Caenorhabditis elegans: one gene and its partners. The protein of the gene in region 1 interacts with the protein of each later gene in a pairwise test. Each region holds a gene or a part of one and is shown in the gene's direction. Other genes may lie near its edges. The genes, in order: nhr-170, pole-3, ceh-10 and hlh-4.

The links.
Region 2: the proteins of nhr-170 (region 1) and pole-3 interact in a two-hybrid assay, tested with the Caenorhabditis elegans proteins (one large-scale study listed by BioGRID).
Region 3: the proteins of nhr-170 (region 1) and ceh-10 interact in a two-hybrid assay, tested with the Caenorhabditis elegans proteins (one large-scale study listed by BioGRID).
Region 4: the proteins of nhr-170 (region 1) and hlh-4 interact in a two-hybrid assay, tested with the Caenorhabditis elegans proteins (one large-scale study listed by BioGRID).

Annotation. Positions count from the first base shown.
Region 1 is NC_003283.11:18,795,548-18,802,685, reverse strand, and holds nhr-170 (Nuclear Hormone Receptor family), read left to right. Parts: upstream 1-1,859; 5' UTR 1,860-1,866; coding exon 1,867-1,991; intron 1,992-2,041; coding exon 2,042-2,178; intron 2,179-2,833; coding exon 2,834-3,045; intron 3,046-4,717; coding exon 4,718-4,936; intron 4,937-5,198; coding exon 5,199-5,294; intron 5,295-5,342; coding exon 5,343-5,437; intron 5,438-6,201; coding exon 6,202-6,580; 3' UTR 6,581-6,625; downstream 6,626-7,138. Other genes in the region: C54E10.11 (FIP (Fungus-Induced Protein) Related), read left to right, coding at 531-548, 1,095-1,253.
Region 2 is NC_003281.10:6,461,691-6,464,571, reverse strand, and holds pole-3 (DNA polymerase epsilon subunit 3), read left to right. Parts: upstream 1-1,715; 5' UTR 1,716-1,724; coding exon 1,725-1,991; intron 1,992-2,034; coding exon 2,035-2,164; intron 2,165-2,218; coding exon 2,219-2,235; 3' UTR 2,236-2,356; downstream 2,357-2,881. Other genes in the region: dlc-1 (Dynein light chain 1, cytoplasmic), read left to right, coding at 808-899, 1,180-1,357; algn-1 (Chitobiosyldiphosphodolichol beta-mannosyltransferase), read right to left, coding at 2,390-2,881.
Region 3 is NC_003281.10:5,797,131-5,801,652, forward strand, and holds ceh-10 (Homeobox protein ceh-10), read left to right. Parts: upstream 1-1,916; 5' UTR 1,917-1,942; coding exon 1,943-2,047; intron 2,048-2,092; coding exon 2,093-2,228; intron 2,229-2,275; coding exon 2,276-2,577; intron 2,578-2,944; coding exon 2,945-3,128; intron 3,129-3,611; coding exon 3,612-3,919; 3' UTR 3,920-3,985; downstream 3,986-4,522. Other genes in the region: polq-1 (DNA polymerase theta), read right to left, coding at 22-255, 591-878, 1,300-1,433, 4,093-4,215. UniProt on the Caenorhabditis elegans protein: Transcription factor. Binds to a sequence motif, 5'-TTATTGGCTTCGTTAA-3', which may be involved in AIY interneuron function, in the regulatory elements of target genes; binding is more efficient, in vitro, together with LIM/homeobox protein ttx-3.
Region 4 is NC_003281.10:9,736,965-9,740,931, reverse strand, and holds hlh-4 (Helix-loop-helix protein 4), read left to right. Parts: upstream 1-1,877; 5' UTR 1,878-2,011; intron 2,012-2,065; 5' UTR 2,066-2,092; coding exon 2,093-2,155; intron 2,156-2,253; exon of another isoform or gene 2,254-2,403; intron 2,404-2,485; exon of another isoform or gene 2,486-2,635; intron 2,636-2,888; coding exon 2,889-3,443; 3' UTR 3,444-3,455; downstream 3,456-3,967. Other genes in the region: T05G5.1 (Prothymosin alpha-like), read left to right, coding at 1-18, 65-510, 955-1,043, 1,445-1,575. UniProt on the Caenorhabditis elegans protein: Acts as a transcriptional regulator. May mediate transcriptional activation by binding to the E-box motif 5'-CANNTG-3'.

The DNA of each region.
Region 1 (7,138 bases):
CATAGTCAAGCCTCTTCCCGACTGCGCAGGTTCGGGTCCCCGTTGGGGGTATTTAGGTTTTTATAGGCGAGATTTTCGATTTTTTGGGTCTTAAAACTTGAAAGCTGAGTTGAAACCCTTTTAAATTCGCACATTTTTGAAAATTTTGTCCGGCTGGCGCAGTGGGATTTTCGCCAACTTCCAATCACGAGACCGGGGTTCGAGTCCGCACGCTGGTCGATATTTTTTTCTAGTGTTGCTTGAACGGATTTTGGGTATTTTTGATGCGTCTGAATCTGAACTTTAAAGTTTTTTTTGCATCATCTTCTTGGAAAACTTCGAAAAAATCAATTGCCAGTTCAAAAAATCAAAACCATTTGTGAGTCACTTTCCCAAACGCCCACTGAGAAATGTAAATTTTTCTTTGAAATTCCCATCGGCCTCGAATCAAACACCGAAATAATGGAAATTCCTTGAGAATACGATTAAAATCTATAAAAACTAGCAGGAAAACATTAAGAACCTCATATTTTAGTGTGGCGCTCGAAAATATGAAAATTCTCGTTTTGGTAAGTGTTTCTAGAGTTGAAAACTAAATTACTTTTGAATTAGTCTAAATTTTAAAAAAAATCGGACAATATCTTGAAATTTTAAAATTTATGCCAGAATGGCTCAGTGGGATTTTTGCTGACTACCAATCACAAGACCGGGGTTCGGGTCCCCGCTTTGGTAAAATTTTTTGTTATTATGTTTTCAGGATGTTTGAAAAGTATAAACTTCAAATTTTGAGGTTTCAGAGAAAAAACATCTGGAAAATACCAAAAATTTACTTACTCAACAAAAAATTTTCAAATTTGAAATTTTCAAATTAGAATCAAAATTAGTGTTACACTCACATTTACATATTTCCCGCAAATTTTTGAAAATTTTGTCCAAATGGCTCAGTGTGATTTTCGGCGACTGACAATCACAAGACCGGGGTTCGAGTCCCCGCTGTGGCAAAAAATTTTTTTCAAGTGTTTTCAATCATATTTAGACGGATAAAATCGAATTTTTCAGTTTAAGAATATACAAAAACTTCTAGGAATGTCAAAAATTAAGCTTTGAAATTTCAGATCGCTGTTCTCTTCCCATTCGGAGTTCTTTGTCAAGACGAAGTCCAGGGATTCGGCGTAGCCCGCAATCGTACTCGCAGATGGTGTGACCCACCGTGCAGAACTTTTCACAGATGCTACTTGGGAGTATGTCGTTATGTTCCAAACATTCCATGGTGAACAGCCTAAGCTCTGAATATTGAATAAATATTATCATACCGAAATTGTGTTGTTTCAACAAAACATCTAAACTTTAGAGAACTGTGTACATGCAATTCAAGCTTAGTTTGGTCGATTTGCTTTGAAATTCTCAAAAATTGAGAAAAGCCCCCCTAAAATCTCCAAAATCAATGTTCCAGCTTGATTTTCATAAGTTAAAAATTGAAAATTCGATTTTCTCGCATAGAAAAACCTATGTACTCTGTCGGGGGTTTTTCTATGCGAGAATTTCGATTTTTTAGGTTTCAAATCTTGAAAACTGTGTTAGAACCCGGTTTTTCGAGAAAATTTTGGTTTATTTAACTAAAAATTATATTTCCTATGACAATAATGTATGCATGTTTCCTGGTGACTAATACCTGCTGATGTTCCTACTCTGCGTCTCGTGCTTTTTTCCCTAATATTTACTTTTCCCCTGTCTCTATTTCACCTCTTATCAAATTTCTCACTTTTCATCTATGAAATATATTACGATTTTCACATTTTCCATAGATTTTTACATTAAAAATTGAGAAATTTTGAGTTTTTTTTCCTCAAAAATCGATATTTTGTCGCCAAAATTCAAATTTTCAGAATGGAATTTCCATCATCCTCGTCAGAAATGACATATTTCACTGTAAACTGTGAAATTTGTCAAAAAACCAGTCACGGTCTGCATTTTGGGCTTGAAACTTGTCGTGCGTGTGCTGCATTTTTCAGGTAAGCTCTAGCGGAATTTCGGAGCATCGTACCGGAGAATTTTTTTCCAGGCGCACCGTAGTTTTGAACCGAAAATACAAATGTATCCAGAAAACTGGAAAATGTGAAATTGGAGCCGGTGGCGAGGAGAAGCTGTGCAAATTTTGCAGATTTAAAAAATGCATCGACTTGGGTATGACTACTGAAAGTGAGGGTTTTTTTTCTCAAATTTTCGTTGAAAATGCAAACTGTGAAAGCAAAATAATTTAAAAAATTGTATTCTCCGCAAAATTTCCGAAATTTTGACCCCCATATTGACTATATTCAGGAAATTTATGTTTTCGGGCCGAAATTGGCCGATTTTAGGCCGAAATAAAATAGAGTCTACTCACAATTGCAAAATTTCATACAGTTCCTAAAATTTAGCGCCTAAATTTATAAGTTTTTTGAATTCGGGCCGTTTCAGGCCGAAATAGGCCGAATTTAGGCTTAAACTGAAAATAATACTATAAATTTCGGATTGTTCACAATTTCTAAAATTTTAAAACCCAACCACAATTTTTTAAACTATAGCTAAAAATAAGGTTGTAAAGGTTTAACTCGACAAAAATTTTTGCATTCAAAGAAAAACCTCATAACATGTCTCACACTGATCTAAGTTCGGCCTATCTCGGCTTATTTCGGCCCGAATCGACTCAGAAACTATACAACGAGTACTGGCGTCAAAACTTTGATTTATTTCAATTCTCAGAAGAGATTGCTTATTAAAGTTTGCAATGTTTTGTTTTAGGCTAAAATTTGGCCTATTTCGGCCTATTTCGGGCTAAAACTTTTTTTTTTCAGTTTTTCAATTTTTTTTTCAGATGTACGCACAGATTTCAAAGACGATTCTGAAGACACCAGTTCTCAATCCCCTCAATCCACGTCATCAATGGAAGTGACGTCATCACAGCAAATTGTCGCCAAAGTGCGGAATCGGGTGGAATATTACATAGTTAACCCGAAAACTCAAGCACCTGCAATGCTTATTGATGTCAATGCAATTATTAAAGAAAGTAGAGCAATTTTGGAGACGGTAGGTAATTTTCAAAAATTTGTTTCAAAAAAGTTTGAAAAAATTCTGAAAAAGTCAATTTTCCGGTCTAAAACTGGCTTAAAAATAATCTTGTGAAATTTAATCAATACTTATTTTTGAATTTGAAACCCATATTGCTAAATTGAATTGAAAAATTGTTTTCAGGACAGATTTCGGCCTGAAACGGCTTATTTTGGTCCGAAAAGCCGGCCCAAAACGGCCTGAAAGCACAAACTGTTAAAAACAACCGATTTGTATGTCACTTTTGTACAAAATTCACAAAATGCATTTTTTGTGTGTTAAATTTTGAAAATTCGGAGATCAAGCCTGAAATGAGGCCCAGAACGGCCCGAAAACTGAAGTTTTAGAAATATACTCAAAATGGGTTTTAAAATTTTAGAAATTGTGAACAATCCGAAATTTATAGTATTATTTTTCGAAAATTACTATTATTTTCAGTATAAGCCTAAATTCGGCCTATTTCGGCCTGAAACGGCCCGAATTCAAAAAACTCATAAATTTAGGCGGTGTTAAGTTTCCAAATTTTAAGAACTGTATGAAATTTTGCAATTGTGAGTAGACTCTATTTTATTTCGGCCTAAAATCGGCCTATTTCGGCCCGAAAACATAAATTTCCGGAATATAGTCAATATGGGGGTCAAAATTTCGGAAATTTTGCGGAGAATACAAATTTTTAAATTATTTTAAATTATTTCGAAACCCATATTGCTAAATTGTTAAAAAAATTGTTTCCAGGGCAGATTTCGGCCTGAAACGGCTTATTTTGGTCCGAAAAGCCGGCCCAAAACGGCCTGAAAGCACAAACTGTTAAAAACAACCGATTTGTATGTCACTTTTGTACAAAATTCACAAAATGCATTTTTTGTGTGTTAAATTTTGAAAATTCGGAGATCAAGCCTGAAATGAGGCCCAGAACGGCCCGAAAACTGAAGTTTTAGAAATATACTCAAAATGGGTTTTAAAATTTTAGAAATTGTGAACAATCCGAAATTTATAGTATTATTTTTCGAAAATTACTATTATTTTCAGTATAAGCCTAAATTCGGCCTATTTCGGCCTGAAACGGCCCGAATTCAAAAAACTCATAAATTTAGGCGGTGTTAAGTTTCCAAATTTTAGGAACTGTATGAAATTTTGCAATTGTGAGTAGACTCTATTTTATTTCGGCCTAAAATCGGCCTATTTCGGCCCGAAAACATAAATTTCCGGAATATAGTCAATATGGGGGTCAAAATTTCGGAAATTTTGCGGAGAATACAAATTTTTAAATTATTTTAAATTATTTCGAAACCCATATTGCTAAATTGTTAAAAAAATTGTTTCCAGGGCAGATTTCGGCCTGAAACGGCTTATTTTGGTCCGAAAAGCCGGCCCAAAACGGCCTGAAAGCACAAACTGTTAAAAACAACCGATTTGTATGTCACTTTTGTACAAAATTCACAAAATGCATTTTTTGTGTGTTAAATTTTGAAAATTCGGAGATCAAGCCTGAAATGAGGCCCAGAACGGCCCGAAAACTGAAGTTTTAGAAATATACTCAATATGGGTGTCAAAATTTTGCAATTTTCACAAAGAATTCAATTTTTTTGGTTTAGACTTCGGAAATTCTCAATCTTTACATTTTTCAGCGAATTTCAATTTTTTTTTGCAGCACTATTTTCCCGACGAAGACCTTATTGCTCATCTGAACCCCCTTCAGCGGATGTCCCACTCATTGCACAAAATCCGTGAGAAACAGTCCTGGAGCCCGGAATTTTTTGAGCACGTAAAATTTTACAAAATGTTCCAGTGGTGGGAGGTACAGATGCGGGATACTGCCACGTGGCTTATGCATTCGGACGAATTTCGGAGGCTACCGAGTCATGAGAAGGTTTTTTTCGAATTAGGCTTAGGCCTAGGCCTAGACTCAAGCTTAGGCCTAGACTCAGGCTTAGGCTTAGGCCTAGACTCGGGGTTAGGTTTAGGCTTAAAACATTTTTCTAGTTTTTTTTGGTAGTTTGTCTGAAAATTTAAAAAAAAAATTCTGAAAATTTTTTTTTTCATGAAAAGGTAGTGTTGATTAGGCTTAGGCTTAGGCTTAGGCTTGGGCTTAGATTTAAGCTTAGCCTTAAAAAAAGTCTCTCAATTTCCAGATCGCAATTTTCAAAATAGTGTGGGCGGTGTGGCGGAGATTCGAGAGGTACACAATGTCTGCTCAAATGTTCGGTCAAAAATGCTATGACGAAAAAGTAACTGAAACGGCCTGAAATAGTCTGAAAATATTAAAAATTTCTCAGATTCACGTTCACAATCACCAATTTGCCGCGAGATTTGGCAATTATCATATCGATTATTCAAACGTGTCGGATCACGGCTTTGAGCGGTTTAACAAGTGAGTTTCCGGACTTTGAAGTTAAAAATTTGAAATCTACATAAAATTCGCAAAATTGTGACCCCCATATTGACTATATTCTGAAAATTTTAGTTTTCAGGCCGAAATAGGCCCATTTTAGGCCTGGAAGCCAAAATTGATGTAAATTAAGAGATATTATGAAAATTTGACATGTATATCTACTGCTTTCCAAATATCGTCTTTCTAAGCCAAAGTAGGCCATTTTGGGCCACTTTGGGTCACTTTCAGGCTTGAAAACTGATTTTTCAGAATATAGTCAACATGGGTGCCAAATTTTTGGCATTTTTTAAAAAATAGTTGACTGTAATATTAAGTTTCCAAAAAAATGAGTTTTCAGGCCAAAATAGTCCGTTTTAAGTCAAAATCTAAGCCTGAAAAGTGATTTTTCAGAATTCAGTCAATTTAAGAGTCAAAATTTTGGAAATTTTATTGCAATGCAGATTGTAATATAAAGGTTCCAAAAAATTGACGTTTCAGGCTTTACTTTCAGGCCTGAAAACAGATTTTTCGGAATATAGTCAATATGGGTGTCAAAATTTCGGAAATTTTGTGTAGATCTCGAATTTTTACCTTGAAATCACTTAAAATGCTCTAAAAATATGCAAAACACCAATTTTGTCATACTCTTCAAAATTTTTAGTTTTCAGCTTTATTTTCAGCCCAAAAGACCCATTATTGGTGTCAAAATGCTCCAAATTTTACGTAGAATCCAAATTTCTTACTGAAAAATTCAATTTTTTCAGTGTATTCGGTGGAAAAATGATCAGATATTTTGACATAATCGTGAAGCCATACCTGGAACTTAATCTCTCTGAAACTGAAGTCACCTATATTTTATGTCAAATCGTCTGGAATTATGCAGGAAGACGGCTTCAAGGACAAACCCAAGCGGCTGGAGAACGATTTTTAGAGGAAATTTCCAATAATTTGCATAGTTACTATGAAGAAGCTGCTAGAAAAGAGGAAAATCCGAAAAACTATGCGTCAAGGCTTACGAAAATGATGCAAATTGTCAATGAAATGCTGAGTATTCAGTTGAAACGAGAAAATACTATGGATATAGCAATGTTGTTTGATATGTTTAATATTGTGTTCACTGAGCCCGAATTTTTCAGGGTTTGAGTGGAAAAATAACGAAAATAAATCGTTTGATATTTTGTGTGAAATTGTGAAGTTATTTTAGAATTTTGTAACACACATAAGTGGACTTGAAACTAAAAAATTCAAATTTGGCGTGAAATTTCCAAAATTTTGACACCCATATTGACTATGATCTGAAAATTTTAGTGTTTAAGCCAAACTGGGCCGTTTTCAGGCCAAGTTTAGGCCTGATTGTCAAACTTCTTGAAAATACCCAGTATAGGTTTAAAATTTTGAGGAGTGCTATGCACATTTCTATTTTTATGCTGATCTTCGAAAAATCCACTTTTCAGTCCGAAATGGGCCGTTGTCAGGCCAATTCTAGGCCTGATATTCACTTTTCCTGAAAATAGCCAATATATGTTTAAAATTTTGAGGAGTGCTATGCACCTTTCTATTTTTTATGCTAATCTTCCGAAAATTCACTTTTCAGTCCAAAATAGGCCGTTTTCAGGCCAATTCTAGGCCTGATTGTTACGTTTTTAGAATATAGCTAACATGGGCGTCGCATTTTGGGAAATGTTATGTACACATCTATTT
Region 2 (2,881 bases), on another chromosome or scaffold:
CAACCTCGCAGTTTCTTCCAACGCCCTTCACTTTTTCTTTTTTTTCTCCTTCTTCTCGCTCCCACCAACACCCCAAAACATTTTGAAATACGCGGGCACGCGCCTGTTTGCATTTGAGTGCGCGCGCATTGCCCCGACGACAGCCGAGTCGCACACTCCAACACAGCCGGGTCGCGTGCGACGCGGCTGTGCAGCGTGCGACGCGCCCCGCCTATCTCGCTCTCGGCTTCGCTCAGCCATCTTCTCTTTCGTCTCCCAATGCCACCCATTCCTCCACTCTTTGAAACTGTTATCTTTTGGCTCACTTCATTCTCCTCCACTTTCGATATCTTTTCTCTGTTGTCTTACGAATGCTGCTGCTGATAAATGCGTACAATCTGATGTGTACTCTTATCGAAAAAGTAGCCTGTTTGTTGACATGAAATATCTTTTGAAAAAAGTTCCCGATGACACATAACTGGGGAACTCTTCTTCTTTCATCTATTTCATTATTTCTAAACTGTTCAGATTTAAACAATTCACGTCAAAAGTTTTTCATGTTGCGGGCGCAAATACTCTGTACTCAAGTGCCTCCGAGCTTTGCAAATTATATTTTTAATACTCTGAAGAGCCTTATTCGTACTAACATACTCCTGTTTCGTGTCATAAATTGGGTCGCTCAAATAATTACCTTGCCGTTCTTCCATTATCCTTATCTATCTCTTTGACCTCCGCATTCCGCATTCACAACCGTTATTATAACTACTACCGAGTACCCGGTGTTCAATTAATTTAATTTTGTATTTTTTGCAGCCAAATCCGTTCAAAATGGTTGACCGCAAGGCTGTGATCAAGAATGCCGACATGTCCGATGACATGCAACAGGACGCCATCGACTGCGCCACCCAGGCCCTCGAGAAGTGAGTTATGAGCTTTCTCATTGCATTTTAAACGCTTGAATAATTCGATTGCCATGAACAACACTTGGTCGCTTAGTAGAGAAAAAGTGTAAAGAAATGTCGTTTAGCTGTTTGGAACGGCTCATCGGTCCCTTGATTTAAACTAAAGTGGACGGCAGCCCGAGTCTAGGGGAGGGGGCGAGCAGGAGCGACCAGCTGATCGAACAAATCTGATCCTTGTGCAAGAAAAAAGCGAAGCGATGAAAGTCTAAAAAATAAAATCAAAACATTTTTTTTTCAGATACAACATCGAGAAGGATATTGCCGCTTACATCAAGAAGGAGTTCGACAAGAAATACAACCCAACCTGGCATTGCATCGTCGGAAGAAACTTTGGAAGCTACGTGACCCACGAGACTAAGCACTTTATCTACTTCTACCTTGGACAGGTCGCCATCCTGCTATTCAAGTCTGGATAAATCCCATCCTGTTCTTAAAAAACATTCAATGATCTTTAAATTGTGACCTGATCCTACGTGTACCTTAGGTGGCGTAGGATCTTCAGTGTGCACTCTTGTTAAATCTTCCTTTTCCTCCCAAAAAACATTTTCCTTCGTCGCATTCTATTTATTTAGCTCAAACTGTTCATTTTCTTTGAATCTTCCTCCATCACCCATAAATCTTCTTACGTTGTCCGTTTTTGAGAGAAAAGAGAACTCATAATATTTTTGTTCTCGAAAAGTGCTCGCACTAAAAGTAAAAATAAAAGGATAGCTTTAAATCCCTTAATTATCTGTGCTTCATTTTTATACTCGAAACTGAACAAGGCAATAATTTAAGATAGAAATGTCATCAAACGATGTGGATCAAAACGATGATCGAATTGCTCAAATGATGATGCCAGCAGCAATTGTGACTCGGCTCATGAAAGAAGACAATATTTCTGCATCAAAAGATGCTCGAGACGTCATCGCTCGTGCTGCAGCAGTGTTTCTCATAAACTTGTCCGACGTTTCGGCTCAATCTGCTCGCGATCAGAAGCACAAGACGATCTCAGGAGATGATGTTGTCAAAGGACTCCGAGAGCTTGAGAATACTTCTATTCACAATCATGTAATTATGGGTTTCGAAAGAGTTAAGAAATTAAAATTTCCAGTGCAAGTCCGCCAACGATAAATGGAAAGTTATTAGTCAGCAGAAGGCTCTCGCTCGTAAAAATCCAGTTGAATCCAGCTCTGTCAATGCTGAAATGGATGACGACATTATTGACGATACTCCTGTCGATGGTTAGTTCTATTCTTTAAATCTGAAGTTTATCTGAATAATTTATAATATTGCAGATTCATTGATGAACTGATCACTCATAACCAACTCATTCCTGCTCAAAACGATCCTTCCTGTAAAATCTCATTCCGATTCTCAACGCGTGTCCCACTTTTGTCTCTAACATTTCACTTTGATAAACAATTTTGGCCAATAGTTTATTGAATGTACAAAACCCCGAAAAAAAATTAAAGCGATCTGAATGCCCCCGAAAAAGTGCCCATAAATAAGTGAATCGGCATGATCAATAAAATAGCGAAAAATGAGAATTGAATAATTGCACGAAGTTTGGCGAATCCATTGTCTGGAACTCGAAAGTCTGCACCAGAGGTAGCTGATCTCTTCCACATCACTTCCCAAGAATCGAATTTTTGCTCCTGTGTATTCTTCTTGAGCCGTATCAATTCATTGCAATTATTTGGGAATCCACGAGAAAGTTCAATAATTTGACGACTCAACTGCTCAGAATCATCGAAAAGATATCCATTAGTTTTCTCCTCAACGAGCTCATCAATACATTTGAATTTTAGAGCCAATGCTGGAACTTTAGCTCCAAACATATCAACAACTTTCATCGGAAGATCCAATCCAGACGTGCTTGTGTGCAAAGAGATTCCTAAGTCAGCAGAGGCTAGAATCTTTGGATAATCTTCTGCTTCCAACCATGGAGTCAATACATC
Region 3 (4,522 bases), on another chromosome or scaffold:
AATTTTTTTTGTAAGATTAACCTCATAAATGCTCATTTCGCTGATCAAATCAAAAAGTGCCAACGCAGAAAAGAATCGAATATGAATTTGAAGCAATTTGTCATTTCTTCGTCCTTGAAGTTGATCCAAAATAAATTTTTCACTGACTCCAACCAACTTTGCGATTCGTTTATGATCTGATGGAAGTTTCGAGAAAATTGAGAAAAGGTGATGCCAATCACATTCCTGCCAAACACTTACGTTGATTGGGGTTACCTGAATTTAAAGATTAATTTAATTATAAAAATATCAGAAAACGTTAATATATACATGCCAAAAATGTTGTTTTTTTCTTATAGAATTTGTAATATGTACGGTGATGTTTTCAGAAATTTTTTTTTTGAATTTCTAAAATTTTTTAATTTGAAAAAGTTTTAATAGTAATTTTTGAAAGTAGTTTTTGAAAATCTGCAAATTTGAATTTTTGAAGAGTTAAAAAAAATTTTCAATATAACAGGTTCTAAATTTTTAAACTTTTTTAAAATGAAAATTGAATAAATTTTGAATATTTTTTGAATTATTTGGGCCCTCGAATTCTTGTAAAAATATACCAAATAGAGCATATGAAGCTCAGTATCCAGTGCAATTGCTCGACTCGCCGAATTCAAATCTTCAAAAATGGCAAGTGATGCTTCAGGTGGTAGAGATGAAGCAATTGCAGCTCTTCCGAGTTGTGTGGGACTTAATTGATCATCGTTTTCGTCTTGGGAGATGAAAGAATTCCGAAGAAGCATCTCGATGGCAATGTCAGAAAGTTGAAGGTTTTCAGAATTAAATAGGAGAAGCTTGCAGAGATCATGAATCTGAGATCTTGTTGTCGTGAGCCCAGTGCAGATTCCCTGAAATTTTTAAAATTTCTATAGAATCTCAAATTTTCTAGACTCTGTTTAAAAAAGGTCAAATACAATGTTTTAGCATTGTGTTTTTAATTGTTATATTTTAATTTTTAAATATTTCAAAAAAGGTGACAAATGGAATCTATGAAAACTGGGCAGCAACGAAATTTTAAAATTACAGTATTCTTTAAAGGCGCACGCCCTTTAGCAATTCACAAAAAAAGAGTGTCGAAACCTGTTACTGTATTTTTTGCGCAAAACTGCTAGATCTTGCGTATGTGTAAAATGAAAGAACGTATTTTTTCTGAAACTTCGAAAAATTTGGAAAAAAAATGATTTTTTTTACAGACTCATCCTTTTGAAAATAAATTTCATTTCGATTTTTTTTTGAGTTTCAGTTTCAGTTAATTTCTCTGAAATTTACCTCTAATATAAATCTGCTTAAATTAGTCCGTTCAGCATCTCGTTTCCTTGTTAGAACACCTTGATCAATCGGAGTCTCGATGATTTTCAGCACGGCATCTCGATCACATTTCTTGATGAGAAGATAGGTTTCACCTGGAAAAATGGATGGAAATTAGTAATTTCGTTCTGAAAACTTGTAGCAGTTAACTTTTCTGCTGATTTTGCTAATTTGATTTATAAATGGATGTTCTGATAAATTATTAAAAATTCTGGTATTTTCCTGCTCCTTTGAGCCGTGAATTTCTTCAAAAGCGGGTTTTTTCTTCAATCGAATGCTAAATAATTTCTCAAAACACTTCAAATACTCCTTCCTGTTCTTTTTCTCATAATTCTCAGCAATTAGTAACCAGAAGCTCCTCCTCCTTCGTGGTACGGTAGACGTCGATCTGCGAAACCAACCAAAAATGGGCGTGGTTTTCTCAGCGATTCGTCAGGAAATTGGATCATTTGCCTCCTCCCGTTTCTCTAGTGTGCTCTCGACTACTGCACACCGGCCAATTCATTTTTATATCAGCCTCCTCCTTCTCGTCTTCTCATTCCAATTTTCCACTTTGGGTAATCTTCTTCAATTTTTCCAGATAAGCAGCCACTTTTCTCTTGTGATGGCGGTGGACGAAATGCAGCTCGCTGCATCAATGCAAATGAGCAATCAAATGAGCAATTCACAACGAATGAGCTTCGCAATTCATGAGATTCTAGGCATTCAGGTAATATCATTCGTATTCCGAAGTGCACAAATCAGTAATTTTTAGGGAAATGCATATCTATCTCACGGATATTGTCCTCAGGGAACATTTCTCTCAAATCAACCCAATTTCATGGACATTGGATCCTGTGGAGTATCAGGGTTCGACAGACAGCTGTGTGGTACTGACTCTATTGGAAATGGTAGGATATTCATAGTTCATAGATTCAAACGAATTTTCAATTTTCAGCACCTGCTCCACTGATGTATCGAATGCCAATCTCAACATCAGAGGTTATAACTTCGGAGCCCCAGACTCATGTCAGCTCATCAAGCATCTTATCATCAGCAACTACATCAAATTCTTCTGGTGGTGGAAGCAGTGGTGGTGGTGGAAAGGCAAGCAAGAGAAAGAAGAGAAGACATCGCACAATTTTCACTCAATACCAGATCGACGAACTCGAGAAGGCTTTTCAAGATTCTCATTACCCAGACATCTATGCCAGAGAAGTCCTAGCTGGAAAGACAGAATTGCAAGAAGATCGGATTCAGGTCAGTTGATTTTTCATTGTAGCCCCTTACCAATTACGAAAACGGAGCCCCTTTTATCGGTCGGCATCCATCTTTTTATTGGTGCTAATTTCCTCCATTTTGCTCTTCTTGACTCTCGGAAAGTTAGAGGACATGCTCCCCCACAAGAATAGGGGCAGCAATGTGTCAATTGAATTTCTTGAATTTCCTTCAAGACAAGTCAAGACACGGCCAATTGGCTGATAGTATTGAGTGAAACCCAAAATTCTAAAGGGTTCTCACGCTTCTTCGCTTCTATTGGCTTACTGAAACCTGAGACCTAATTATCTATTAGATGACAAATTGTGTAAAAGCTTTATCAAATTGTTCAATCAAGTATATTTTTCAGGTATGGTTCCAAAACCGTCGTGCAAAATGGCGAAAAACCGAGAAAACCTGGGGAAAAAGTACCATAATGGCAGAATATGGGCTATATGGAGCAATGGTACGGCATTCTCTTCCACTTCCGGAAACAATTACAAAGTCAGCTGAGGCGGCGGATCCACAACAAAGTGCTGCTCCGTGGTTGTTAGGTATGTGAAGATGTGACTTTGCATGTGATAGTTGCGTTAATCAGCTTGTTTATGAGGAAGAGGGGAGAATGAGTCAGAAAAAGAGTTTAATTTTGTGATAAACAAATGAAATTAGAAAAGATCATGAAATTGGACTTTTGGTAGAACAAAATTAGTCTATCTAAAACTTTCAACTGGGATAATTCCGGATAACAACCGGGAACAAACAAAAAATGGTATTAAGATGTTTTAATTATAAATTACAAACCAAACTTCAGGGTAGCTTGAAACTTTTAGAAAATGAATTGTTATTTTTGTGTTCTTAGTAAAACTTGAAAAAAAAACGTGCAAAACTCCTAACAAAAACTAAATTTTTTGAAGGTGCACCATGATAGGTATTAAAATTGGAGAAATTACGACAGTGACACCACAATATTGCACCACTAATTACCCTGAACCACCTGCTCTGACCCATTTCATTCCCATATGATACATTGTTTTCAGGAATGCACAAGAAAAGTATGGAAGCTGCGGCTCACTTGGAGAGTGTTGAAAAATGTGATATGTCGGATAGTGATGATGATGACCGTCCGGTAACTCCTCCAGTGCAACGTCAAGTGAAAAACGAGTACAAACCACGAATAATTGAGCATGTTCAACAACAAGCTCCCCAACATCAGTCATCATTGAATTTCGATACTTCACTTGTTGTCAGTTCCTCACTTTCACAATTACATTTTCAGGATTCTCAAATGATTCCGAACAATAATGCTTCATTGAAGCTTTATCATGATTACAATAATCCCATGTAACTCTATTTTTCCGTGAATTTCAATGTCAATAACTATTACCTAAATAATAAATTAATCTGCTAATAACAACAATAATAATGAGCGGTCAGGAAACAACCACTTCTTTCTTTTTTCTTTTTAATCGCCGTTTGTCAAGTACTTATTTGAAGATTTTGCGGGAAAAGAAGACGTACCTCGTGTAGCATGTCCTGTTCTTCCCGCTCTTCCCACCATCTGACGGTAATTTAGAGAAGTGAGAGCCGATGGGCCACGTGGCTGAGCCTTGATGAGTACTCGTTCCGCAGGGAGATTTACGCCTGGAATTCTATTTTTTTATTTGGAAAAGAAGGTTTTAAACTTTTGAAAATGTAAAGTTTGAAAAATTATAATAGTTTTAATCTTAATATATCGACGAATTTGAACCTTTTATCTTATTTCATCAATAAGAAAAAAGAAAACAAAAATTTAATATTCTTCAGCTAAAAAGGGCCAAAATTGTATGCTATTATTCGAAAAATCGACATTTTGGAATCTCGAAAAAAAAACCGAAAAATTTTCGCTTTTCGATTTAAAAAAAAGGGAAGAGCGGGATTAGCAAACAACTGGAAATTCTTGAGTGAATAG
Region 4 (3,967 bases), on another chromosome or scaffold:
GAAGAGAGACGTAGAGAGGTTTGAATGAAGTACCGTATTATTTTAATTCTGAATCCCTTTGCAGGAAGAAAGCCGCCGATTGGCTGCACAACGAGAAACCGATGAAGCAAGAGTAAGAGATGAAGAGAGACGGAGACAAGAAACAGAAAAAGAAGTAGAAAAGGAATTAAATGATAAAAGGACACAATCAATGAATGAACAATTTGAATATGAAGGTGGAGATGAAGAATATCCACAAGTTGCTGAAAAAGAAGATGAATATGATGAAGGGTATGAGACAGATAATACTGAAGATGTTACAATCACAACTACAAAAACTACAAAACTTATGAAGCCTATGGTAGAAGAGAGTAAAGGAGTAGATGGAGATGATGGAAGTGATATGATTATGGAAAAAGATGAAATGGAAGATGATAAAGAACCAATTAGAAAAGAAGATGAAAAACTTATTGATTCGATTAAACATGTCTTCAATAAAGCAGTCGATGAAACTGTAAAAGAACATCCAATGTAAGTTTTTTCTAAATCTAGTTCTAGATATCAACTATAATTATAATACATATTCAAAAGTTGCTATGTGAAACATGCTATGAAGCACCCTGATTTTAATCCGACGCCTGAAAAAAATACAGATGTTAGGAATTTTGTACACCCATTATCAGGGCACACCAAAAATGGGTGGGATAATTTATAAAATTTTATTTGAAATTTACATTTTAGCTGTTGGCTAAAATGTGAATTAAAATGCTCCCAGTACCGTGTTTTGTAAATTTCATAGTTATCAATTCATTAAGAATAAGTAAAATGTGATGAGGAAAAAAGTTTTTCGTGTGCAATTTTAATGTTAAAATTGATTTCTTAACCCATTAGGAAACTTTAACAGTTCCAGAAATAATATTTCTGAAAAATCATCTCAAAAAAAAACGTTTGATTTCTAATTGAATTTTTTTTAAGCGAGGAAGACGAGTATTGGGATGAAACTTCCAAAAAAACAGACGAAGATAGTTGGACGGCAGAAAATGAAGGAACCAAGAAAACAGAAGGTTTGTTAATTTTTTAAAATTAAAATAATTTCAAAATTTCCAGAAATATTTTTTTTTGAGTTTTGGCAATTTGTTCCCATTTTTAAAACTGATTATTTTTTGGTACATTGGGAAAAGTTACTTTTTAAACAAATTTTCGTGAATTGATGCAGGCTTAAGCCGTACACTGTGCAAATAAAAATAATAAAAATATTTATAATTGTAGAAAAAAAAGATTGCTGGTAAAACTAAGTTTCCACCATTTTTTGGGAGTTTAAATTTAAAAATTTTAAATTAATATAATCAAAAAAAATTAAAATCATGTTTTGACAATTACATTAAAATATCCGCCATGAGGGAACCTTATATCGTACTAGGAAGTTGAAAATTTATCAAGTTTAAAATTATTTTATTTTTTTCAGAAGCCGATGAATACGGTATGGAAGAAGGTACAGAAGGATGGATGATGGTGAAAAAAGAAAATGAAAATGCAGCGGTTGGAACTACAGTATCCTTGATTACTGTAACTTTCCTATTCACACTTATCTTCTAAATATCATGAAAAAAGTATTCTCAAACTCCCAGTTTCCCTGTTAAGTACCAAATGTTCTGCCTTATTTTCTAGTTTCACGGGTTTCTTTTCATTGAATTTATCACACCTACTTTTGCTCATTTCCTTTCATTTTCCTAACTCATATCTCACTTTTTTCTCATTTTTAAATTCAGTTTAACCTTACAGTATTAATTATTGTTTTTTCAATACTACTTTATCCTTGATAATTCCTAAAATAATAATAAACGCTTACGTAAACCAATAATTACCGTAATCCTCTCGGGATGTAGTCACCTCATCCAAAATTCAATTAACGTCGACAACAGAACAGGTGGAAAAGTGACGGCGAGAAAAGGAGCCGCCCGTCTTGTATGACTGACTACCCACTGATTTCTTTCTGCTTTGCATTTGTTATCTGATCTCCCACTAACGTCAGGTGAGAATACAGAAATTTCAGATGATTTTATATCTTGTAACCTGAAAGTTTCAGACTCAAAATTCCTGAAAATCCAAAGGAATGCCGATGGTTGTTGCCAAGAGAAATGCAAGGGAACGGACACGTGTACACACTGTTAATCAGGTTTGATCCTTTTTTTGAGTTATGAAGAAATTACAGTAGTTTTCTGATCAGTGATGTGAGCAGCAAAGTTTTTTGGCATATTTACAAAATCCCATTTTCTCATTGTTGTGCCCAAGTTTTTTGTGAATGTATATAGGAATGTCGAGAAATATTTATACTTTCTGGTACATTCATTTGGCAAATTGAGACTTTGAGGAAGATTTTGAGAAATTTTTTGAGCATCTCAATTGAAAATAAATGCATCTTTAGAGAGTGAAAACATCTCTTTATATGCCGATATAAATTTACAACAAAAAACTTTGGCACAACGATGAAAAAGGGGAATTTTGTAAATGTTTCGAAAAAATGTGCCGCACTTCTCTGTTTCTTGTACATCAAATGGCAAGATGTGCTTCCAAAAAAAGTAAGAAGCTTTTTTGTAGATTGCCATTTCAAAGGTGTTGTAAGTGAGGATTTATTATTTCAAATTATCGATTATCGATTATTTTAAAAAAAAAACTGATCTTGGCTGTTAAGATGTTTCAAAAATCGAAGGATCTCTCTTTTTTTGAGAATTTTACATACTTTCAATAATCCTATTTGACAAATGTCAAATTATCTACATACGTCAGCCGTGATTTTCTGTAATAGATTATAGAGACCCTTGAAACAAATAGTATTCAAATAGTTTAAAATTCTAAATCGTACAAAAATATATCCAAAAGTCCGTTCATTCAAATACTTCTTATTTCAGGCATTTCTTGTTCTGAAACAACATCTTCCAAGCCTCCGTCAATTCACAAAACGTGTCAGCAAACTTCGTATACTGAATGCAGCAATCACTTACATTGACACACTTCTTAAATTAATTCAAAGTTCAGAAGCAGTTCCTCAGTCTGTTATTTCTGCAACTCTTGGCCCAATTGTTCCAACTCCCGTTCGAGCTGTCCATAAAATCTCAAAACCAGACACAGTCATATCTCAACCAATCCGTCCCCTTGCACCAGTTCTTCCACGCCACGAAACGTATCTCCCAGCTCCAATAGCTGCGACGTGTGCTCCAGATCATTCTCTAGTCGACTATAGATCAACATTCGCATCGTCATTAGCACCACCAGTTCCAATGCAAATGCCTTCAGTATTCTCACCTCAACCAACATTCCCTTATATGAAGAGTCTACTTGATTATCCAACATATTTCTATCAACCATCAACTGCACCTCCACCACCACCTGCACCAACTGCACCACAATCACATTTGATTGTTAATAATCAACTTGTACCAATGCCCTCTTATCAATGTTTTTGAATAAATACATTTTATTTCTATATGTGCAGTGGCTGTTCAGACTATTCAGGTTTCTCGTAAACTTTCGCTATTTTCCAAAGAATATTACTCAGAAACCGGACTTTTCGAAAGCGAAAATTTCATTTCCGAATACTTTTCAACAACCCACCTCAAACATGCCAAAAGATGAAGCAGCGGACATTTGGCGAGTTCATTTATGACAAAAAACTCTTGAAATACGTTTTCTACAAGGTGTTAGTTGTACCTCAATAAAGGGGAGCGGCAAACGATTTTTTCCGGCAAATCAGCAAATTGCCGGAAGAACGGCACTTGCAGAAAGTTTTCAGCAAATTGTGGTTTTGCTCATTTTTTTTGGAAATTTCAGAATTTTAATTTTAATCGGAAAATTGTACGCATCCTATGATTTATTTAGAAAATTTATTTAGAAAAATAATCAAATTCTATGAAAAAATCTTTTTAAAGACGAGAAAAAATGTGAAAAAGGCACAGTTCTTTGGCATTTTGCCGGAATTGGTAATTTGCTG